3 linked regions of the Arabidopsis thaliana genome follow. The protein of the gene in region 3 interacts with the protein of the main gene of each other region in a pairwise test. Each region holds a gene or a part of one and is shown on either strand. Other genes may lie near its edges.

Region 1 (7,929 bases), on a different chromosome or scaffold from region 3:
GGAGAAGGCTCGATGCAACTTTACAAGTCGAGAAGAGGCCCTTTTTATTTGATTTGGTTGAATACGGGCCCAAGCCTAATAAAAAATTTCATCGTTTGATATTGATACACTTTTTTTTGGTCGAATACACTCTTTTATTTCAACCAAAACAAAATCACTGGTTTGTTAGTAATCTTATGATATATATATGTGTCTAGTTGTAACCTATATAGCTGCTAGATGAGTCGTTTTCCAATCTATAATTGGTTACAAAATTTGGGAACCATTTGCCAGAAAAGAAAAAACATTCAATCAAAATACAGCATAGATTTATAAACATGGAAAAGGATAGGGAGGGAGACAAATACAAAGTGGTATCAAGACATAAACATAAGTTGACCATACTGTTTGTTAACTTGGTATCCAATGCAGGTGGGATTTTTTGTTTTCATTTTTTTTTGGTCGAGATTGCTTGGATATGACCTACCCATTTGTCATATAACACCAACTTGTATCTATGTACAACATCCTTTATTTTGGATTTAAGTCTCTTCCATGATATTAAGCCTTTCAATTCTTCATTTCTTGTGTAACCGTGAAATTCTCCAACCGAAACATAAACTTATTATTTCTTATGCATATAGAAAACCACATTTTACTACTCATCACTCCAATATATCAGTGGTACTCATATATTTATTGTACAATCTCATTCAGACATATCAGCCGGAATGAAAGTTCAACCATCTAATAGGCTAACACACTAGCATTGCTTCAAATTTCTTAAACACGCTAACATTGTAACAACATAATAATAATGACACAAAAATATACATTTGAGGTTTTGAGAGAGTGCTAAAATGGGACCTACGTTTTCATTTCTTGGAACATGAATAGTGGGAATTAAGAAAAACAAAAAAAATCGAAAAAGAGAAAGATCACGATGGTTGTCACAAAATGTTGTTGATGATGTAGGGAATTGGTAGGGTCTTATAACCTATACTTTTCACATGCATTCTTAAACCCTATTTCTACTGCATCTCCATGTGCCTCCCCTCACGTCTCTACCTTCTCTCTCTATCTGTTTTTTTTTTTCAATCAATAACAAAAGAAATATTACATCATTTTCCCTTTCATCATATCTTTAACCAGCTAAAACAAGTTTGAAGCGAATTTTGCATATATACAGTCCCAACTTCGTCAATTATATTGAAGTTCGTTATCTTTTTTTTTTTTTTTTTTTTTTTTTTTTTTTTTTTTTTGTATGTGTATGTGTGTGTGTGTGAAATATCGCGATTAATAGTTTAAGAAAATTCTTCATCAGAATAATAGATTATAATATTTTCAAAGATTTACTTGTTTTTTGATTATTTTGATTTTATTAAAATCATATTGTTGAGACAATGGTATTATGGTCATGAAGAACCTCAAGTGTTTTATGTATCAATTGGCAAATTTCAGCACAAGTGAATTTTTTTCTTGATTATTTTCTACTGTCTATACATATAAAATAGAGAATATAATATAACAACTTTGAGCTATAATTAGAATCTGTTGGAAAAAAATGAAAAAATATAACAAATATATTCTATCTTGATTTTTCAAAGTATAGAATCTAAAAAAAGCTATATGATATTAATTATCCAATTATATGATTGCATTTATGAGTTGATATGATATCTTTTGGTTGTTTCATAAAACAGAATCAAGAATAAGATGATCAATACCGAAATATATGGCTTCATCATCAAATATTATTTCACATGTGATTCTCCAATGTATCATTATTAAGAGTTGTTATACGAGGACCCATTTTTTTCGCAGCAATCAAATCAATTTGAGCTTTTTAATTAAAATCTTCAAAAATAATCTGAGAAAATCACAGCGTCTCATTAATTATTAAAAAAGTACTTCAAAAAAGTGGATATACGATTTTGAAATGATAACGATTTCCTGACGTCAGAAAAAATCCTATAACAAACATTAATGTTTTTTTTTGGTTAGTTAAGAGACAATAATATGTTACATCTACCAAAGAATATTCCAGTTAAGTTAGTTAATAGTTGGAGTCAAACTTAAACGAACAACGTCGCCTACAAATCTGGGGGTATAAGTTATAACCAACGGCCACCAACATGGGTTTTGATATCGTCCACCTGATTTTTATGTTAATATAACTCAATTTGATTGATTAAATATTATGCTCTTATACTAATCATTCTAGGTCCAAAACTGAATCACTCATTGCACATCATTTTTATGATTTTTATTTTGAAAATCTCATGTTTCAAGAAATATTTGTGCATTCTACTAGTAGCTTATTTTAAATAAAGTTTCGAGTTTATATAATAAACAATATGTTTATTTCTTTGATTTGTATACATTTTAAAAAAAAAAACAGGATGAAGATATATACAACTAAAGCTCAATTCAACTAGTAGGAAAATTGTATTCTACAAAAAATTTGTGTTTATGTTTTTATTATGATAACCATCCAAACTCATTATTTCACCCATGATCAAAGTAACTATATCAATATATCTGCAACAATATCTGACTCAACATTTATTTTTACATAAACTGCGGACCAACACAATTATGCTAAACTATCATCATTTATTCTATTGGTATTGGAGATCAGTCTACGTCAGTGAATACCGCATAATTCACATGAAACTAACTCCAAAACCCTTTAACCAAAAAAAAAAAAAAACTAATTACAACTCCGGTTAACCTGTCGATAATTACAAGACTGAAAACATCCTAGTCAGTAAAAAACATATTTGTATGTATCCGATCCCACCAAATAAATAAGTTGTTGTCAATGATAGAGGAAGAGAAAACGAAAAAAAATTGCGGACCAAGACATTTGGGACTACTAGAGTTTAGGGAGCATAAATGGTCCTATTTGACTTACCCTCTACCGTATAAATAAATGTATTTTAGCCGTATAAATGTATACATACGTAGATGCATAGGTATACAGGATTACTTTAGACGATTTGATGTCGGTATGACATTACATTTGACTCCCCTAGCTCCACTTGTCTCTGTTCATTTTTCTTGTATGTCATTTCCTTGTTTTCCAATTTTACGTTTACCACCCTATTTTATTTTGTTAATATTTTCTAAGTCAACGTGTTGACACTTAATTACAGAATCTGATAACTAAAGTTACATAAAATGCTCACAGTTTTTTTCAGCAAAATACTCACATTATACGACATATAAAATTTTAGCAGTCTATAAATAGTAATTATTTGGCATTAGTATTGGACAAGAAGTAGAATATAAATTAATGTTGGTTCTTTTTTCTATCCAACTTCACACAGCCAATTTTGTAGCTGACATCGTGAATGGACGACTAAACTAATCATAAGCATAGTGATTCAGTTTATACAACAACAACAAAAAGTTAATTACATTTGAGGTTTCTTTTTAAATTGCTATGTTTGGTCCCTAAATGATGGTCATAATAAGGACGGTCCGGCGGTGACGGAAACGCGTAAAGACTAATCATTTTAGTACTATTAATTTGTAGAATTATTATTAAATATGCTTGAATCCTAGAAAACGATCAAATAAATTTTGGAAAGAAGCTCAAAATGTGTTATTTAATTTTGTCCCTATGTAGAGCTGGTTTTTTTATTTTTATTTAAACATAATCCTAAGATTTATTGCTGTATGTGTGAATGCAATAATAAATAGAAACTCAATAATAGATCATTCTTATTTTCAAAAAGAAACAAGAACTACTGCAATGTTTTAATTGTTTATTTTGTATTAAATAATATAGCTTGTTAATTATTGGAGATCGCATTAAATAATAAAAGAAGTTGTCTCACATGTCTTGGAGAATATTTACTAAAAACTATGGTAATGTCTGGACGGTCAAAAAAGTCTCTCTAGTTTCTGATTCTGTTGTCACATTTTATTTTTGAAATTAAATGTCGTTAGATTATTATTATCTATATATATATATATCCCAACAGACCCATTGCTTCTCCAACCACATCTCACTCTTCACCAACTTAAACCCTAATTCAAGATCTCTTCTTTTCGTTCTCTCCTTCACCCACATTAGTCTTCTCTACGACCAAAATCTCTTGACTTTAAAAACAGAGAATGAAACAGCTTTCGACAAAAGTGACAAGCAATGGTCATGGACAAGACTCATCCTACTTCTTGGGATGGGAAGAGTACGAGAAGAATCCTTATGATGAGATCAAGAACCCTAATGGGATGATCCAGATGGGTCTAGCCGAAAACCAGCTATGTTTCGATCTAATCGAGTCATGGTTAACTAAGAACCCAGACGCGGCAAGTCTCAAGAGGAACGGTCAATCCATTTTCAGAGAGCTTGCTCTATTTCAAGACTATCATGGCATGCCTGAATTCAAAAAAGTAAGCTTCTTTCATTTTTCTCAAATTCAATAAAGAGAGTAACCTGACGTGTATCACAAGTAATGAATCCATTTCTCATGAACATTTTCTGTCATTTTTTACAGGCTATGGCTGAGTTTATGGAAGAGATAAGAGGAAACCGTGTCACGTTCGATCCAAAAAAGATTGTTTTAGCGGCTGGTTCGACATCTGCGAATGAGACTCTCATGTTTTGCCTTGCAGAGCCTGGCGATGCTTTCCTTTTGCCTACTCCTTACTATCCTGGGTAAATTACACTTCTCCTCTTTACTTGGATTCCAAGTAAACCCAATAGAAATATATGCTTACGTCTAGGCTTTTTTATGATTACAGATTTGATAGAGATCTTAAATGGAGAACCGGAGCAGAGATAGTACCCATTCACTGCTCAAGCTCTAATGGCTTCCAAATCACGGAATCAGCTCTGCAACAAGCTTACCAACAAGCCCAGAAACTTGATCTCAAAGTCAAAGGAGTTCTTGTCACGAATCCATCTAACCCACTTGGCACTGCGTTGACCAGACGTGAACTTAACCTTCTCGTTGACTTCATCACTTCCAAGAACATTCATCTCATTAGCGACGAGATCTATTCAGGCACTATGTTCGGGTTTGAACAGTTCATAAGCGTAATGGATGTCTTGAAAGACAAGAAACTCGAAGACACGGAGGTTTCAAAACGAGTCCACGTCGTTTATAGCCTTTCTAAAGATCTGGGACTTCCTGGTTTCCGTGTGGGAGCGATCTACTCCAACGACGAAATGATCGTTTCAGCAGCTACAAAAATGTCAAGTTTTGGTCTTGTTTCTTCTCAGACACAATACCTTCTCTCTGCATTGCTCTCCGACAAGAAGTTCACTAGCCAATACCTCGAAGAGAACCAGAAACGACTCAAGTCCAGACAGAGACGCCTCGTGTCTGGTCTTGAGTCTGCAGGGATTACTTGCCTGAGAAGCAACGCGGGTTTGTTCTGTTGGGTCGACATGAGACACCTTTTGGACACAAACACATTTGAAGCAGAGCTTGACCTCTGGAAAAAGATTGTTTACAACGTGAAACTAAACATATCACCCGGTTCTTCATGTCACTGCACCGAACCGGGTTGGTTTAGGGTTTGTTTCGCTAATATGAGCGAGGACACACTCGATTTGGCCTTGAAGAGGCTCAAAACTTTCGTAGAATCCACAGACTGTGGACGAATGATATCAAGAAGCAGCCATGAAAGGCTCAAGAGTTTGAGGAAGAAGACAGTCTCTAACTGGGTTTTCCGGGTTTCATGGACCGATCGTGTACCTGATGAACGATGAAATTATTCATCTCCCTAAGTTTGAGACGACGAACAAAAGAAAACTTCACGGTTTTTTCTTCTTCTTTATTTCCTTCATTTTTTATATTTTGGGAAAGTATTTTTAATTTTCCAAGATATCTATAATCATATCATTATATATGTAATATTTTTTTTAATGTTTGGGTGAGTCTTTAATTTATGCAATTTTTCGGGTGTAAAATTGTTACTATGTGTTATTATATGTTTTTAATGCACTCAATCCGAATGTGGATTTGCAGTGGCTATATATATAAATAAATATATATCCCGTTGTAATTTTAGTGAAACGTTTGTGTGTATTGTACCCATATATAAAAATGTAATTCACTCTTTTTAGTTTATATATATTTTGTTTTATAAATATGGGTTTCTTTAATTTTATGCTCTATCATTTGGTATAGTTTTTGAGTTTGTTGTGAGAATTCTCCTCTGACTATAAGGCTATAAAGATCGTGTTAACGTTGTTGGTTAAGGACGTTAGTTGAGGCATATCAAAAGGAGGCTTAATTTAATGTCAATTAACTAATTAATTAATCATTATATGGTAATATGGCGGGAATTGTCGAATTGGTCAACTGAGAAAGCAAAAGGGGAAAGTCAAAGGTTTTCCACTTAGGTGAATCAAGAGAGAAGGTATGATCTACTTGTCGAAAATATTCGATGAAGCCTAAATAATTTAGTTAAAAATCGACTAAAACCCATTAACAATTTCGGGGTAAAGGTAGCTTCTAGCGTTCTACGGCAGTAAAGTTTTGAGCTTTGAATAGGTACGTTGCATTGCGTAAGAATGTTCACGTCACATATTTGAACTAAAATTACAAGTTTACAACGAAATCCACATTTTTTTTTTGTATAATCAAAACTTACTCTATCAGGATTAACGTAATTATAAGAAAAAAATGAGCAACTTATGAGAAACCGAAATCTGTATATCGAGAGCCATGGTTGATTGATATATATGTTAAGGAGGATATGTCCCAATGATTACAATGATTATAGATTTATACATTACAATTCCAATCATCGAAATCAATAATTTTCAAAAATTTGAGGATGAAAAGGCTCCAATCATTTAAAGAGAAAAGTCTTTATAACCATTTTTTTTTTCTTGTGAAATTATTTCCCGAGGGATAAAGTAGAGGATAAAGTGTCATATCATCATAGGCTAATCATTATAGTATAAGATATAAGATACCGGTCAAATGTTATTATGCTAAGCCTATCACATAAAAAAAAAACTAAAAAAGTGCCATGAGCTTTGTTGGTACTACGAAGAGTAGACTACGAAATATATAATACAACTTTAGTAACCGATTTTGTTTTAATTTTAGCATGATACGCGGCTATACCGGCCGTAACGGCAAATGATCCTTACATGTGAACAGCATTAATGTGGTGGTTGAGTCCCCAAAAATCTGTCTCAATTAATTAACAATTCGATTATAAAAACTTAACAGAGATATGTAGTAGCAGTACGTACTTTGAAAAATAAGAGATTGAGAATTTGGTTGGATTTGAGAATCCGTGAATGAGTAATACTGATTAAGTAATATTCTACTTAAAAGTCTTTATTGCATATGACCGACCATAACTATACAAACTGACATTATGAAGTCGTTGTACCAGAAAATTTTCGTCATTGTCATGGTCGTAGTCTACTTGCTACTATAATAAGCGACATTGGAATGATATTTGATATTATCATTCCATAAATTGTTACGTCAACTGGTGCCACATACTAATCATATAGTTGGTAATGTAAGAATACGTTTTCTTGTAAAAATGTTTAAAATATTGTTTTACCCAGTTCTAAAAGTAGATATAGATTATGGAAGTTTATCTTTATCAACGTATTGTAAAGTAGATATAGATTATGGAAGTTATGTACATATGCATGTCAAGTTTGAACCAAAATTTCAGTCACGTGGGCTTCACGAGTGAGGCCATATAACTGCACATGCCATGACACAGAAACATATAACATCTCTTATGCATACACCTATAGTAATCATATTTATATATGCATAACAAACAAATGAATTGTAACGATTTGTTTTTTACTCCATATTTGACTTCGACCGATTGGACATATAATTTGGAATTCAAATTACATCAATTATATGCCAGGACCCCTTTGATGTTCTTCATGTATGCATGAGGGGTCATCTACGCATGGCATTGCTACTTACGTTACACATACAT
Region 2 (7,290 bases), on a different chromosome or scaffold from region 3:
CAATATATGTGTCCGTTTTTAAAAGTGATTATGAAAATACAAGGCTTTTGTGGCCCAATCACTTTTTATGGCCCGACGAGTATTGGATTTTTCGCTTGAATTTGTAGCAATTTTTCGAGTCGTGTTTATTTTGGAAGTTACTTGCATTAATATGAATGCATAGACTATATGCAGGACAGGACTGACTATATGTATAATTATTTTCTATTGTTCGTTCATGTCATGGCATGGCATGTGCAAGTTATGGCCTAAGCTCATGAACCCACGTGACTGTATTCCTCTTTGTACATATTTTACATGTTAATCATGAGTTTTTTATATTAGTTTATTCAAAATTAAGTTCACATCAACCATATTGACGAGAATTTATATTATCTTGGACAAATATGTCAAACAATGACGAGACATAATTCCCTAATAAAAATATGTGAATCTACATTTCGATCTATCGTTATAGAAACAACCGACCACTTTGCTTTTTGTTATAGATATGTGTGATCTAAATCATATCGAGACAACCTCACAAATCTCAAAATTTAGTAATATACGGTCGATAATACAGTGGACAAATTCTGGTTGGGTCGTATGCAACTAATAAACAGCATTGAACTCAAATCATATGAACATCAACCAAAATTCTCAAAATCAATTTTACGTGTTTTTATTATTTCTTTAATTGGAAAATTCCTTATATGTTATACAACCCAACGACCACTATAATGCTCCTCACATGTAAAGATTATATGTCGTCACGGCCGATTTCTCCGCGTTTCATACAAAAAGGGGAACAATATCGTCATATTTGGAAATTTTGTTAAATCTGCGTAGTATAATTCGAATAATTCGTTCGTAGAAGTACCAACAAAGGTTACAAAAGCACATGAAAATTATGGAATAATATATTTTGAAGAGATTCACTATATATCATGTCTACATAAAGCATCATAATCTTTGACCGATATATCATATATGATAAAATGATATTGATCGTCTATAACTGGAATAATAATTACGATTCACAATATGTTTTAGATTCATGAATTACTATTAATGAGAAGTTGACAAAAAGAATATGTAGCTAACTAGCTATTAATGAGAAATTAGTTTTTCATTCTAAAATCCAAATGATGACCACTATTAGGCCTAATAGTCATTTCTTCAACCTGAAATAAAAAAGTATTGATTGACATGAAATGCTTGTAGGTTTCTAATTTATGTAGCATATATTTTTTCTATTTGTTTTTCTGATCAAATATCGTAGCATATATCATATTTCTCTGGATGTAATATAACATGTAATTTTTTCCATCGTATAATGGATAGTTGTCGTAAACTAAACTTTAATTTATGTTGTTCGTTACGTTATGGACTAAACCTTCTGATTCAATATCTAAGCAAATCGAAAGTAGTTTTCATGTTATCGTTTGTTTTTATGTGTGTGTAAATATATATATGGCTAATATTTGTATACTGCGAAATGTAGAAATGTACATATGTTATATATTTTCATGGATATAAACTTTCCTTGACATTACAGGAGATAGATATATAGATAGCCATTACAAATTCAAATTTGGATTGAGTGCACTTAATGCTAGTAACACTTATATCCAAAAAAACAAAAAAAATTGGCTACAAATTCTCAGGGAAACATTTATAAATAAAAGATAAAAAAATAATATAGTTGATATTAAAACCCAAAAAAAGAAAGAAAGAAAGAATATTTAGTAATATCATTATTTAAGAAAATGTAACAACCATTTTCCAAAACAATAAAAAACGATTATATATATATATATATATATATATATATATATATATATATATTATTGTAAATGAAAAAAATTGGTAGGAAGATTTGCTTTGTCTTAACTTGGGGCGATGAATATACTTTCATCGTTCATCAGGTACACGGTCGGTCCATGAAACCCGGAAAACCCAGTTGGAGACAGTTCTCTTCCTCAAACTCTTGATCCTATCATGACTGCTTTTTGAAATCACTCTTCTACTATCTGTTGACTCTACGTACTCTTTGAGCCTCTTCATCGCCAAATCAAGCGTATCTTCACTCATGTTGGCGAAACAAACCCTAAACCAACCCGGTTCAGTACAATGGCACGATGAACCAGGTGAAATATTCAGCTTGACGTCATATACAATCTTCTTCCATAGCTCAAGTTCTGCTTCGAATGTGTTTGTGTCCAAAAGATGTCTCATGTCAACCCAACAGAACAAACCAGCGTTGCTTTTAAGACAAGTAATCCCTGCAGCTTCTAGACCGGACACGAGTTTCTTCTGACGAATCTTGAGTCTTTTCTGGTTTTCGTCGAGGTATGTACTTGTGAACTTCTTGTCTGAAAGCAATGCAGAGAGAAGGTACTGTGTTTGAGAAGACACGAGACCGAAACTTGACATTTTTGTTGCAGCGGAAACAACCATTTCGTCGTTGGAGTAAATTGCTCCTACGCGAAAACCTGGTAAACCGAGATCTTTGGAAAGACTATAAACAATATGAACTCGTTTGGAGACTTCGCTGTTCTCGAGGTTCTTGTCTTTTAAGACATCCATGACACTTACAAACTGTTCAAACCCAAAAACGGTACCTGAATAGATCTCGTCGCTTATGAGATGAATGTTTTTGGAAGTAATGAAGTCAACGAGAAGGTTAAGTTCTCTTCTGGTCAACATTGTGCCAAGAGGGTTAGACGGGTTGGTAACAAGAACTCCTTTGACCTTAAGATCAAGCTTTTGAGCTTGTTGATAAGCTTGTTGAAGAGCTGACTCTGTTATTTGGAACCCATTAGAGCTTGAGCAATGAATAGGTACGATCTCTGCTCCCGTTCTCCATTTCAAGTCTCTATCGAATCTGTATGCATAAGCGAATCAAATACTATCAGCTCAGGTTTCTTGTGAGGCAAGTAATTAAATAAAAAAACCTAAAAAATTACCCTGGATAGTAAGGAGTTGGTAAAAGGAAAGCGTCCCCGGGTTCGGCGAGACAAAACATGAGAGTTTCGTTGGCAGATGTTGAACCAGCAGCTAGGACAATCTTGCTTGGATCAAATGTTACTCTATTTCCTCTGATTTCCTCCATAAACTCTGCCAAAGCCTATAGATAAATAAACCCTATTAAGTTAGTTACTCGCTTCTTGATCGAGTTACTTATGAAGGTGAAAAAAAATTAATTACTTACTTTCTTGAATTCGGGTAGGCCATGATAGTCTTGAAAGAGAGCAAGCTCTTTGAAAATGGATTGGCCGTCCTTTTTTAGTCCGGCTGCGTCCGGATTCTTAGCTAACCATGTCTCTATGAGATCAAAACATAGCTGCATGCATATTAAAAACATCGTATTAAACACCCAAAAATATACAATAATTAAAGATTGGTCGATTGGTCGAAAACTCGTAGTTATAGTTACCTGATTTTCGGCAAGACCCATTTGAATAATCCCATTAGGGTTCTTGATTTCGTCGTAAGGGTTCTTCTCGTATTCTTCCCATCCCAAGAAGTAGGAAGAGTCTTGTCCATGAGCATTGCTTGTCACTTTTCTCGACAGTTGTTTCATTTTTTGATATAAAAATCAAAAAGAATGTTTGGTTTATTGAAAGATGACTAATGAAGAATGGGAGAACGGTAAATGAGAGAGATATGTTGAATTAGGTTTTAGTTAGTTGGTGAAGACTGAAGAGTGAGATGTGGAATGTGGTTGCTTGTGGGAGCTATATATATATATACTTCCGTTTTTTACTTGACGTCACGTAGCTAGTAATTTATTAGTAATCATTTATCGTCAGTTAGTATATATTTTGCTAATCTTATACTACAAATCTAAAGAAAATCTCTCTTCCTATCTCTATATAAAGTTAAATTGAAAAAGACTCAACAATTATTTCAAATTTTGAAGTATGTGTGAAATTGGGTTAATTAAAAACAGAAGTAGACTAAAACGTTATAAAATTTTAGAGGAAGTAGAATAATATTGTTTAACCCTCACTATATATATTATTACACAAACACATGAGAGATATAAAGAAAACGATAATAATGATAATTGGATAGGTGAAGTAGAATAGAGAAAAGAGAAAGCTTGACACATAGTTAAACAAAACAAAATTAGTTTTGTCCATAAAACGCGTTTTCGGTCACCGCCCATACATACATGACAATGAATTAGCGACCAAAACAATACAAAATCTATTTTTAGATCGAATGTCATGATATTGTGTTGGGGATTTCACCAATTGTGTTTCGGGAGTTATCTGAGATGTTTATGATTATTACTGCGGTTATGCTTATAATACAAAACTAGTGGACATTAGAGATATTAAATCTGAAGAAAAAGTGGCCGCCAAATTGAAAATAAATAGTAAATTTTGATTGGGAGTTTTGGGAATTTGAATATCTCCGAAGCCAGTAAGACTAAGCTTAGAAAAAATTTTAAGATCCATTTCGGATTTGGACATTTAGATCCGAACTCGATAATTTCATGATCATGCCACTAGGGTTAATCAGACACAAGGTCCAAATTAAAAAAAAAAGTGTATTATTCACAATTTCTGGTTATGAATCTTTTGATTTAAAGATGTTATTGTTTCTAATTTACAATTTTTTTTTGACGATTTTAATAAAAGCATACAAAATAAAGAATAGAAAGATTCTAAATTATTGTTAGATCTAGAGAGTTTTCTATAATCTTGTTGATTAGTTTTCCACAATCTTATAAAGTTTTCCAAATAATCTTTCTATTTTAATGATATTTTTGATGACTTTATTTTGTAAAGGAAAATATCAAAAGTTATAAACTAATAACATAATAATTTAATTCATTAATAATCATAAATTCTTTTATTTTAATTGAATAACACAAAAATTTTATTGACTTTCTAAAAGTATGAATCAAATAACTGCATGAAAATTTTAGATCGCATTTTACAAATTTTAAACTAATACACTAGATTTTAATAAACTTTTAAAAAATTTTAACTGAATAACAACAGATTCTATATAACATTTAAATCACAAAAACTCTATTTAATTCGCACACAAATAACATCCCACTGTATATATCATCACGTGCTTGCCCAAAAAAATTAAAAAATAAACGAGCCCATAATAAATGGGCCTTGAACAGATTCTAAGCCCAAGTCAATTAACGAAAAATAAGAGACGAAACGAAAACTTATGACTTTGTTTACCAGTCTTCTTCTGAAAACAGAACTTGCAAATGCGAGAAACATACAATCTCTGAGGTTCACTTGTCACTATTAGATGAATCAGACGCCATGGAAGTTCAAAACTTTTCGAGACCTTCTACTGAAATCTGTAGCGGAGAGAGATCTCTTCACTGGGAAATCACTTCACGCGCTCTACGTGAAATCCATTGTAGCTTCGTCCACTTATCTCTCAAATCACTTCGTGAATCTCTACTCCAAATGTGGTCGCCTTTCCTACGCACGAGCCGCGTTCTACTCCACGGAAGAACCCAATGTCTTCTCTTACAATGTAATTGTCAAAGCTTACGCGAAAGATTCGAAAATCCATATTGCACGCCAGTTGTTCGACGAAATTCCCCAACCAGACACTGTCTCTTACAATACTCTTATCTCGGGGTACGCTGATGCTAGAGAAACTTTTGCCGCAATGGTTCTGTTTAAGAGAATGAGAAAATTGGGATTTGAGGTTGATGGGTTTACGTTATCAGGGTTGATAGCAGCTTGTTGTGACCGTGTTGATTTGATAAAGCAGCTTCACTGTTTCTCTGTCTCGGGAGGGTTTGATTCGTACTCGTCTGTGAATAACGCGTTTGTTACGTATTATAGTAAAGGCGGGCTTTTGAGAGAGGCGGTATCGGTGTTTTATGGGATGGATGAATTAAGAGATGAAGTTTCGTGGAATTCGATGATTGTGGCTTATGGGCAGCACAAGGAAGGAGCAAAGGCATTAGCTTTGTATAAAGAAATGATCTTTAAAGGATTCAAGATTGATATGTTTACATTGGCAAGTGTTTTAAATGCTCTCACTAGCTTGGATCATTTGATCGGTGGCCGTCAGTTCCACGGTAAGCTGATCAAGGCTGGATTTCACCAGAACTCACATGTGGGAAGTGGTTTGATTGATTTTTACTCAAAATGCGGGGGTTGTGATGGTATGTATGATAGTGAGAAGGTATTTCAAGAGATTCTATCGCCGGATTTGGTTGTTTGGAATACGATGATTTCTGGATATTCAATGAACGAGGAACTCTCTGAAGAAGCTGTGAAGAGTTTTAGACAGATGCAACGTATTGGACATAGACCTGATGATTGCAGTTTTGTCTGTGTCACAAGCGCTTGCTCGAATCTCTCCTCTCCTTCTCAGTGCAAGCAGATTCATGGCTTGGCGATCAAATCTCACATCCCTTCGAATAGAATCTCTGTGAACAACGCGTTGATTTCGTTGTATTACAAAAGCGGAAACCTGCAAGACGCAAGGTGGGTATTTGATAGAATGCCGGAACTTAATGCGGTATCTTTCAATTGTATGATCAAAGGTTATGCGCAGCACGGGCATGGAACAGAAGCTTTGCTTTTATACCAACGGATGCTGGACTCGGGTATTGCGCCTAACAAGATAACCTTTGTAGCCGTTCTTTCTGCTTGTGCGCACTGTGGTAAGGTCGACGAGGGTCAGGAGTACTTCAACACCATGAAGGAGACGTTCAAGATCGAACCAGAGGCTGAGCACTATTCTTGTATGATTGATCTTTTAGGCCGAGCAGGGAAGCTAGAAGAGGCAGAGAGATTCATAGATGCAATGCCTTATAAGCCAGGCTCTGTTGCTTGGGCTGCTTTGCTCGGGGCTTGTAGGAAACACAAAAACATGGCTCTTGCAGAGAGAGCAGCTAATGAGCTTATGGTGATGCAACCATTAGCTGCCACGCCATATGTGATGCTAGCAAACATGTATGCAGATGCCAGGAAATGGGAAGAGATGGCCTCGGTGAGGAAATCAATGAGGGGGAAAAGGATAAGGAAGAAACCGGGATGTAGTTGGATCGAAGTGAAGAAGAAAAAGCATGTATTCGTCGCAGAAGATTGGTCTCATCCGATGATACGAGAAGTGAATGAATATCTAGAGGAGATGATGAAGAAGATGAAGAAAGTTGGGTATGTGATGGATAAGAAATGGGCAATGGTAAAAGAGGATGAAGCAGGCGAAGGGGACGAAGAAATGCGGTTAGGACATCACAGCGAGAAGCTAGCGGTGGCTTTTGGGTTGATGTCGACTAGAGATGGAGAAGAATTAGTTGTA
Region 3 (9,994 bases):
GGTGGCTGGTACAGGCTGGTCAGAAGGAGAATACAAAGGCAAAGCTGGATGGTTTCCGTCTGCGTACGTAGAGAAACAAGAGAAAGCTCCGGCAAGCAAGATCGTGGAATCAAACTCCAAGCAACAGTGATGCCCTTTCTTTAACATATACATACCAAAAAGTATGTGTAAGATATGATTGTGTTTCTCTTCCTTCTTACCTATCATCGTAAGTAAAGATATGTTTTCGACGAGTAAATATGATCTTGTAAGAGTAATGATTTGTGTGTTTTCTTCCTTTTTTCTTATGTATCAACATGAGTCTAACTCTAGACTCTTGAATCATTTCTTTACGCAGTTGTGAGAATCCTGTTTTATCTTTTGTTAGATACAATCCTCTGTTTCTTCTGTAATTTACTCTGATAATGATAATGATCTTTTCTTTTTCAGTAAAATTTGATTTTTAAAAAATAAAGGATGGAACTTTGAATAATAAGACTCTCTTTCTCTACAAAGTTCACAACTTTACATTCTCATTATCTCATATCATCCCCTAAAGAGACATGAACATGAGTTTGTTACAAACTCCATCACTTCTTATGTACAATAAGATGCTCAAATCTCTTGCTGATGGTAAAAGTTTCACGAAAGTTTTGGCTTTGTTCGGTGAATTGCGAGGACAAGGATTGTATCCTGATAATTTCACGTTACCGGTTGTTCTAAAGTCAATTGGTCGTTTGAGGAAGGTTATAGAAGGTGAGAAGGTTCATGGTTATGCTGTGAAAGCTGGGCTTGAGTTCGATTCTTATGTATCTAATTCACTCATGGGAATGTATGCTTCATTGGGTAAGATAGAGATCACACATAAAGTGTTCGATGAAATGCCTCAACGAGATGTTGTTTCTTGGAATGGGTTGATTTCTAGTTATGTTGGTAATGGGAGGTTTGAGGATGCCATTGGTGTGTTTAAGCGGATGAGTCAGGAGAGCAATTTGAAGTTTGATGAAGGTACAATTGTGAGCACTCTTTCGGCTTGTTCGGCTTTGAAGAATCTTGAAATTGGTGAAAGGATTTATAGGTTTGTTGTTACAGAATTTGAAATGAGTGTTAGGATTGGGAATGCGTTGGTGGATATGTTCTGTAAATGTGGGTGTCTCGATAAGGCTAGAGCGGTTTTCGATTCGATGAGAGACAAGAATGTTAAGTGTTGGACTAGTATGGTTTTTGGGTATGTTAGTACTGGTAGGATTGATGAGGCTAGAGTTTTGTTTGAGAGAAGTCCTGTAAAGGATGTTGTTTTGTGGACAGCTATGATGAATGGGTATGTTCAGTTTAACCGGTTTGATGAGGCATTGGAACTGTTCAGGTGCATGCAAACTGCGGGAATTAGGCCGGATAATTTCGTGCTAGTCTCTCTCTTGACAGGTTGCGCGCAAACGGGAGCTTTAGAGCAAGGAAAATGGATTCATGGGTACATAAATGAGAACAGGGTTACAGTAGATAAAGTAGTTGGTACTGCTCTTGTAGACATGTATGCAAAATGTGGATGCATTGAGACAGCTCTAGAGGTTTTCTATGAAATAAAGGAGAGAGACACAGCTTCGTGGACATCACTTATCTACGGTCTTGCGATGAACGGGATGTCAGGAAGAGCGCTGGACTTGTATTACGAAATGGAAAATGTTGGTGTTAGACTAGACGCTATAACATTTGTCGCGGTTTTAACAGCTTGCAATCATGGTGGATTTGTAGCAGAAGGCCGTAAGATTTTCCATTCGATGACCGAAAGACATAACGTCCAGCCTAAATCAGAGCACTGCAGCTGTCTGATTGACCTACTATGCAGAGCTGGTTTGTTAGATGAAGCAGAGGAATTGATAGATAAGATGCGTGGTGAAAGCGATGAAACTCTAGTTCCTGTATACTGTTCTTTACTTAGTGCTGCTAGGAACTATGGGAATGTAAAAATAGCAGAACGGGTAGCGGAAAAGCTTGAGAAAGTGGAAGTAAGTGATTCCAGTGCTCATACTCTGCTTGCAAGTGTATATGCATCTGCTAATAGATGGGAAGATGTAACTAATGTGAGAAGGAAAATGAAAGATTTGGGAATCAGAAAGTTTCCTGGTTGCAGCTCCATCGAGATTGATGGGGTTGGTCATGAGTTTATTGTTGGAGATGATCTATTATCACACCCAAAAATGGATGAGATCAACTCAATGCTGCATCAAACGACAAATTTGATGTTGGATTTGGAACATAAAGAAATTGATAGCTGAAACTTTCTTGTACATTCTCTAACTACTTCCCTTATCATTAACATTTGTTTCCCTGCTAATGAACCGGTTTTGAATCGATGTTGGTTTTGAATCGATATCAGCTTCTCTGTAACTGAATCAGGATTGATTGAGACTGAAGAAGAAGAAGATGAAGGAACATGGATTATTTCAAAAGAACATAAAGGCAGAGAGTAGTTTTTCTACAAAGGTCACAACTATACAATTCAATTTCATGTTCAAATAAAAGTTTTTATACCAAAAATCAGAACAAAAAGAGAAAGGGCTGAAAATGAATGGCTCGAATCTGGTAAAACTGGAGGGGCAAAGTAAATGGCAACACAACACAAAGACTCTGTTCCATTAACTGGAAAATTATGGCTCTTCGTTGGTATTTGCAGGTTTTCTCGGGGAGCAAAAACGGAAATCGAATAGCATTTGAAGGCTTTCCCCGGGAAACCGGACTCGGTTTACTTTTTTTCTCGAGGTTTCGACTGGTGGGTTTATGCAATTAATCAGAGCTGGAATCATAAAATTCGCTGGGACAAGGAGTCATGACCTCTGATTCAAGTAACTGGACAACCCGATGCATCGTTGGACGCTCTTCTGGACTCGGAGACACACACTGTGTTGCTATTGATAGTAGAGCGTCAAGGCTCTCCATCTGCATTCCTTCACAGTTTGGATCAACAATATCCCTTGGCCGTTTTTCGCTGATTAAGAACTTTAGCTGTAAATCATGAGTCAAAAGCTTTTTTAGTCAAGTTTGTCGTAACAAAATATCAGTATTGAAAAAGAATCTTATTTGCATACCCAACCAACAACGTTAAGGCCTTTCTCGATGAAGGAAGCATCGGTTGGTCTTTTCCCACTCAAGACTTCAAGAACCAAAACCCCAAAACTGTATACATCGGTTTTCTCAGTTGCTCTACCACTTTGCATATATTCTGTCAAATGGAAAAGTCTCAGCATTTGAAAGATCAAATCTTTATGTAAGTAAAGACTTTTAAAAGGCATATGTACCTGGAGCTAGGTACCCAAATGTGCCTGCAACAATGGTTGTGATATGAGATTCTTCGTCTTCCAACAACTTGGCTAGACCAAAATCCGATACCCGTGCCTCGAGATTGCCATCAAGCAAAATGTTGCTCGACTTTATATCACGATGTATAATCCGAGGAGAACAATCATGATGCAAATATGATAACCCTTTCGCAGCTCCTATGATGATATTTACGCGTGAATCCCAGTCCAATTGCTCGCCTCTCTCTACTAATTCAAGAACCAAACTTCTCAGTGAATCATTCATAATATGGAAGAGAGCCATAAAGAGCAGATTGATCATACCATGAAGTGCTTCATCAAGGCTACCACCGGGCAAGTAATCATATAACAGTAGCTTTGATGTTGGTGAATTGCAATATCCACGTAGATTCACGAGGTATCGGTGTTTGATGCTCCCAAGAATCTCAAGCTCCCGCTCAAAAAACCGATCAAACCCTTCGTTTAACTTTAGAATTCTCTTCAATGCAAAGACTTTGCCATCATCCATGGCCAGCTTATACACCGTTCCAAAGCCTCCACATCCAATTATGTGCTCTTCATTCAACATTTCCAGCTTCTTAATGATATCTTTGGAAGAGTAAGGTAAATCTCCGTGGAACATCACAATAGACGCACCTGAATTGAAAAAGTCACAATGAAGATTTAGGAGATAGAGAAAAATATGAAATTTCCCAATATTTAACGAGATAATATCTGTACAAAAAAAATCAATACGGCTCACCTCCACCAACATCCTTTGCAAGGCTTTTAATCTCGACTTTACCGAGCTTTTTATATAGAAAGCATCCCCAGAAACACATGAGTGCAACTAGGAGTAGCGCACCTACAGTTGCTGATGCGCTAATCAGCAGCTTACCAGAGTTTTTCTTTTGATTTTGACCTATAAAGTATAAGACACCAAATAAATATAACTTTACTGATAGAGAGCCACAACAAAACCTGTATATCACAAGAAATTCATAATTGCTTTTACCTGATTGAGAATGTGATGAAGGGTTTCCACTATCATCTTGGCACACGACATCAACATGCTTTCCACACAAGTTAAGATTTCCAATGAAGCTGTAGTAGTAACGCATCAGTTTGAGAATCATATAATTTCAGTCGCACTGATACAATCTAGCTAAATAGTTATGTGGTTCAAAAAATCATCTCGAATATAAGCGAAATATGAAAGATCAGCTGTATAAATGTAACTTTAGAGGATTGACAAAAAAAAAAAAAAAATGTAACTTTAGAGGCTTTATTTTTCTATCCCTACAAGAAGAAAAGGGTGTTTATTGTCTTACGAGTTCTTAGAAAATCCAGAGAGCACTCCGTCTGAAGGTATTTGCCCCACCAGGAAGTTGTTCGAGACATTGCTTCATAAGACAAACGAAACAGAAAGATTCACAGGACTGCAATATGATAAATTACAGCGGAAGTTAGAGATTAAGGTGCTCACAAGTTACTAAGCTTTTTTAACTGCCCAAGCGAAGCAGGGATAGGTCCACTGAGAGTGTTGCTTGACATGTCCCTTGAAAATAAAATAAAAAAGTCAAAAGTCAGTTTTAGTAGAGAAAAGAGAACAATCAATATGTGAATCTGAAGTAAACAATACATTATCATGCTTTTCAAATTGCTCACCAAGAGTTTAGGTATAACTAGTTCTGAATATAATGTGCATGAGAAGACATTATGCAGTCAACCATATGTTACCATGATCCTAGATGGTGATAGAAGTAAATGAAAACAAAAAACAAATAGATATTGCATACACTAAAAGAAGGATGCACTTGCAAGTACGTATAGGGAAGAGAAAAAAACATACAGCTTTTGAAGGCCAGGCAGGTCTCCCATTTCAGCTGGGATTGGTCCAGTGAAGTAGTTACTCTGCAAGTGACTGCAAAACCAGTTGGACAATTTTGATGACCATAAGCAACTGGAATTGGTCTCTCAGAAACCATGTGGAATCAGTATAAAATCCTGGAAAAGCGCTTACATTTCCTCCAATGCTGTGCAATTTCCCAATGCTGTAGGTATTGCTCCATATAAAGCATTGTTGTGAAGCATTCTGCAATGACACACAGATGATCAGAATCGAAGTACTCTCTTAAGCAATAAAAATGAATAAGGCTAGAGAGCACATACAAAAGCCTTAAATGGTCCAACTTTCCAATATCAGGAGGTAAAGGTCCCATTATTTTGTGATAAGTAAGATTCCTGCGAAACAAGAGTATTAGGGAGCACAAATACTGAAGAGAAAACCAGTAAACCTTGACAAGTTTGAAAACTTACAAGGTTATAACTCTTTTCGTTTTTGCATCACATGTCACTCCGTTCCAGTTACATGGATCTGGATCTTCCGGTCTCCACTGATGGATGAAACTATCTGATCTAGTAACTGCATTTCTGAAGCTCAGAAGCGCCTCGCCTGAAGAATGGAAACAAGCAATAAAGGATTAAAGCTCAATAAAAGGTCCAGGACGCTATGAATAGTAATAGTTGATTCATATCGACGTACCGTCAGGACTAATCGCTTGACTTTCATTAGATAGTGAGCAAAGCAACGAGATCAAAAGAAGCCATGAGCAGCAGCTTTTCATCTCACAGATGCCCATCATGGCACTGTCCAAGCATAATATAACTACTACCAATCATTTGAAAAGAACAGCCTCTTGGTTGTCAGTTATTAGTTGATTCCATGTCTATGTTCAAGTAAGAAACTAGACTCCTGAAAAACAAAGGAAAGCCCACAAAACTAATTGTCAATTACACTACACATTAAGCTCAGTCTCCACACAACTTATGCATGCTCTCATCTACATTTTGAGTACTCAAAACAGTGAAATTGCCTCACAAGAACCAATACACACTTTCCAATTGCTAAAATCAGAAAACGAGAGCTAAATTCGGCCAACAATCTCAAAATCATCATCAACAAAAGAGCTCAAAAACAGCTCTAGCTTAACATAGATTACGAAATTCCCAGATACCATCCAATCCTATAACACAATAACAACTGAAGATTCGAACAATATAACAAATCCAAAAAACGATTCAGCAAAAGACCCAAAACCCCACTCTTTCCAACAATATCAAAGGTTATAGCTTTAAAAGCAAACAGAATTAGTAAGAATTATAAGAACCTCTAAAAATGGATCCGAGAGGAGGAAGAATTGAGACAGAGGAAGAAGAAGATGACTAATTTGAGCTGTAAAGCAAAAAAAAAAAAATATAACTTAAGGAGAAGATAAAAAAAACAAAAAAGGAATCGACTTTTTATTTTGTTTGTGTGATTTATGGTAAGAGTGAAGAGAGAGAAAACTAGAGTGAGAGAGAGAGAGTGTGTGAAGAAGAAGAAGATGCTTTCTTCTCCAAAGCATACGACCAATGAGAAGAAACGAAGTGGGTCTCGCACGTGCCGATCTTGACCTCCCACACGTGTCAACCGACGCTTTCTTCATAAAACCCAATTATTATTGCCAGCTAGACCTTAGCTAAGCCTAATCTCTACAATGGTCGAAATCATTGGGCCCATTTTTAAGGCCCATTACGGTATAAGCCCAGCGGTTTGATTGAACCGGTTTGAGATTAGAAGCCATTGTTGTCCGTTGTTTCACCATCGCGTTATATCGATGGCTACGGCGGCGATTATTTCCGTGAAACCGCCGGCGAGCTTCTACTGCGGAGGAAACCGACGCGACGGAGGAAGGGGAATCACCATTGCACGAGTTTCTCGAGACGAACGGTTTCATGAGAGGATCGTTGGTCTCTCTGCCTCGACCGTGTTGTTCATCGGTTTAAGTAGCCTCCGCGTCTGTTCTCCGGCCTCCGCTCGAATACTACCACCGCCGATTGTCGTTACAGAGAATGAAATCAACACAGAAACTGTAGCTGGTGCGTGAAATTGAACATTTTCGTCACTCTTGGGATTTCGATGGATTTGAATTTTGTGTTCCAATGGAATGTTTTTGCAGGTGAAGAGAATCTAAATGAAGTTGAAGATGAAGAAAAACTGGAAGCTGATTTCGAAGCGTACAAGTCTAAAGTGTATTCTCTTACTGTCCCGCTAAAACTCGTTGCCTTGCGTGGCTCAGTGCCACCATCATGGATCAAGGTTTTAGTTTCACTTGTCTGTGTTTCCATTTCTATTTTGAATCTTAAGCTTATAGTTGAAAATGTATGTTGTTGGATTCTGTGAATGGAATTTAGGAGTTTATGAGCTCACAAGGGAAGAGAGTGAGGTTAAAGACTCAGTTTCGAGGAAATCTTGAAGAGATCTTTTTCGATCTATCGAAACCAAGTAAGAATGGAAAAAAGGGGGCTGCTTCAACTGCAGCAGCTGATATGATCAGCATTGGTGATTCTTGGCTTAGTTTTGCTATTAAGGAAAAGCTAATTGAGCCAATGAAAGGGATAGAAGATCAAGACTGGTATAAAGGCTTGAGTGATAAATGGAAGGTGAGAATTTAAATCAGTGGTTTAACAATATGAATATGAGTCTTTTTGAAAGAACACTAGCTTGAGAGATTTTAATAGGCATAATCTTTCATGTGTTTTGTTTTCGTACTCTGCTAGCTTGGGAATGTTCATAGGGTTCATTTCATGACTTAGAAAGTCTCAGATTTATCTCCGCAGGAACTATGCGGGAGAAAAAGCTCCTGACGGTGAAACGTGGGCTGTGCCATACCGCTGGGGCACCATGGTTATAGCATACAAAAAGAGCAAATTTCAGAATTATAAATTGGCACCGATAGAGGTTGGTATACTTTGTTGTTGCTAAATGCTGTCTTAGTGTTTTCCTATTTAAAAGAAGTGAATATCACTGAACATTTTGCTGAATTTAGGACTGGGCTGATCTGTGGCGACCCGAGCTTGCAGGAAGGATCGCAATGGTGAATTCTCCTAGAGAGGTTGTTGGTGCTGTTCTCAAATACATGAGAGCATCATACAATACGACAGACCTGGATTCACAAGTTCCTGGCGGAAGATTAGCAGTGGAGAAAAATCTGGCATCACTCATGAAACAGGTTATTACCTCTTTACTATCTCTCCATACCCTAAAGAGAACAGATGAGTTTAGGCTGACGTGTTTCACTCAACCTCTATAGTTATTGAGAAAAAATGACAATGGTGGCTGATCTTGTTTCCCCTTTTGCTTATAGATTAGACTATTTGATAGTAACAACTATTTAAAAGCTTTCAATGTCGGAGATGTCTGGGTCACTGTTGGTTGGAGCAGCGATGTTATCCCTGTCGCAAAACGTATGTCTAATGTTACAGTGATTGTTCCCAAATCCGGTGCCACCTTATGGGCTGATCTATGGGTAAGTTACCGTCGTAAAATCACTTAACCCTTCATCTGATATCTTGAATGCTTCTTGTTCTAAAGACGATATAACATATCTGGACACTAAACCGTGAAGCATAATTGTTTTTCAAGGCGATCCCGGCTGTTTCTGACTCTGGTAAAGAAGCAGAACAAAGAGGAGGACGAGTCCGAGGCCCATCTCCATTAATCAACCAGTGGATAGAATTCTGCTTGCAACCTGCAAGATCGTTACCATTCACACGGGAAGTAATTCCTGGTGCATCTCCTTCAGCTCTTGATGGTCCTCTGGTTACAGAACCCGAAAAAACAAAGAAAGACAGAACAAAACTGGACACAAACCTGGTCACAGGTGTTCCTCCTCCGGAGATCTTGTCTAAGTGTGAGTTCTTGGAACCTTTACCAGAGGCTACGCTATCGGAATATCGGCTTCTGATTGAAACTGTAAGGAAGCAAAGCCAAAGACCTGGCCTTGTGGAGAAACTAAAGGACATTGTTTCAATTAAGGTTCGAGGATTTAGGGCAAAGCTTGACTCCGAGATGAATAAGAACATTTGAGAGACGGACAAAAGTGGAAATGGAATCATTTGTATGATTACATAGAGCAACTTCATGTTGGTTAACATAAGGGGTTTTCTATCTCCTTATAACAGAGTATCATGTCATGAAGAGCCAGAGGCTGATCGCCTTTGCTCATGTTACTAGTTAGTCGTTAGTTCAAACACTATAGATGCCAAAACAAGTGTATAAATTAAATTAAACTACACAAAACGCCTAATATAACCTAACATTATTTAATTTATTGGCCATCTAAGAGGTAAATATCATGTAAAACGGTGTTAATGAATGCTTTGTTTTGAAAATGAACAAGGGAAAGTTAAATGTTCTTTTTCTTGGGACTATCAGCCCAACAATGAGCTATGAAGAGCCGAAGCGTTTTCACATTCCTCAAGTTTTCGTAATCAACGCGAGTCACATTCAAACACGTATTATATGCTTTTAAAGTGAGTGACTCTGCGTTTTCTCGATTCTGTTTACTTATAAAAGTTGTTGTGTGATAATTTTCTCTATCAAGTATGGTAGTGTGACACTCGGTTCTAGGATTTAGTCTCTCTTCATCCTCTGGTATTTCTGTTTTGGTTTGGTTGCAAGGAGACTTCATTAAGATCAATGGCAGACCAATATGAAAAGAGGATAACATGGACGATTAAGAATTTCTCCTCTTTGCAATCTCATGCAATTTATTTTGATATTTTTGTAGTTGGGGACACCAAATGGTAAAAACTTGTTCTCTTATGTTTGCTAATGTTTGCGTTTCATTTTAGGTTTACTTGATATTACCCTTTGCTTATTGGTTTTTGGTTTA

The links. The genes of interacting proteins can lie anywhere in the genome.
Region 1: the proteins of FEI1 (region 3) and ACS5 interact in a two-hybrid assay, tested with the Arabidopsis thaliana proteins (one study listed by BioGRID).
Region 2: the proteins of FEI1 (region 3) and ACS9 interact in a two-hybrid assay, tested with the Arabidopsis thaliana proteins (one study listed by BioGRID).

Annotation. Positions count from the first base shown.
Region 1 is NC_003076.8:26,328,874-26,336,802, reverse strand, and holds ACS5 (ACC synthase 5), read left to right. Parts: upstream 1-3,990; 5' UTR 3,991-4,104; coding exon 4,105-4,383; intron 4,384-4,487; coding exon 4,488-4,648; intron 4,649-4,734; coding exon 4,735-5,707; 3' UTR 5,708-6,057; downstream 6,058-7,929. UniProt on the Arabidopsis thaliana protein: 1-aminocyclopropane-1-carboxylate synthase (ACS) enzymes catalyze the conversion of S-adenosyl-L-methionine (SAM) into 1-aminocyclopropane-1-carboxylate (ACC), a direct precursor of ethylene.
Region 2 is NC_003074.8:18,432,577-18,439,866, forward strand, and holds ACS9 (1-aminocyclopropane-1-carboxylate synthase 9), read right to left. Parts: upstream 3,566-7,290; coding exon 3,419-3,565; intron 3,326-3,418; coding exon 3,194-3,325; intron 3,110-3,193; coding exon 2,949-3,109; intron 2,867-2,948; coding exon 1,894-2,866; 3' UTR 1,873-1,893; downstream 1-1,872. Other genes in the region: AT3G49710 (Pentatricopeptide repeat (PPR) superfamily protein), read left to right, coding at 5,269-7,290. UniProt on the Arabidopsis thaliana protein: 1-aminocyclopropane-1-carboxylate synthase (ACS) enzymes catalyze the conversion of S-adenosyl-L-methionine (SAM) into 1-aminocyclopropane-1-carboxylate (ACC), a direct precursor of ethylene.
Region 3 is NC_003070.9:11,246,286-11,256,279, reverse strand, and holds FEI1 (Leucine-rich repeat protein kinase family protein), read right to left. Parts: upstream 6,663-9,994; 5' UTR 5,921-6,662; coding exon 5,821-5,920; intron 5,731-5,820; coding exon 5,595-5,730; intron 5,520-5,594; coding exon 5,448-5,519; intron 5,371-5,447; coding exon 5,299-5,370; intron 5,200-5,298; coding exon 5,128-5,199; intron 4,834-5,127; coding exon 4,762-4,833; intron 4,679-4,761; coding exon 4,607-4,678; intron 4,380-4,606; coding exon 4,291-4,379; intron 4,198-4,290; coding exon 4,039-4,197; intron 3,933-4,038; coding exon 3,600-3,932; intron 3,525-3,599; coding exon 3,276-3,524; intron 3,200-3,275; coding exon 3,066-3,199; intron 2,983-3,065; coding exon 2,764-2,982; 3' UTR 2,365-2,763; downstream 1-2,364. Other genes in the region: AT1G31440 (SH3 domain-containing protein), read left to right, coding at 2-130; AT1G31430 (Pentatricopeptide repeat (PPR-like) superfamily protein), read left to right, coding at 543-2,255; AT1G31410 (putrescine-binding periplasmic protein-like protein), read left to right, coding at 6,935-7,196, 7,277-7,416, 7,512-7,760, 7,924-8,058, 8,147-8,329, 8,465-8,626, 8,743-9,186; AT1G31400 (TRAF-like family protein), read left to right, coding at 9,799-9,905.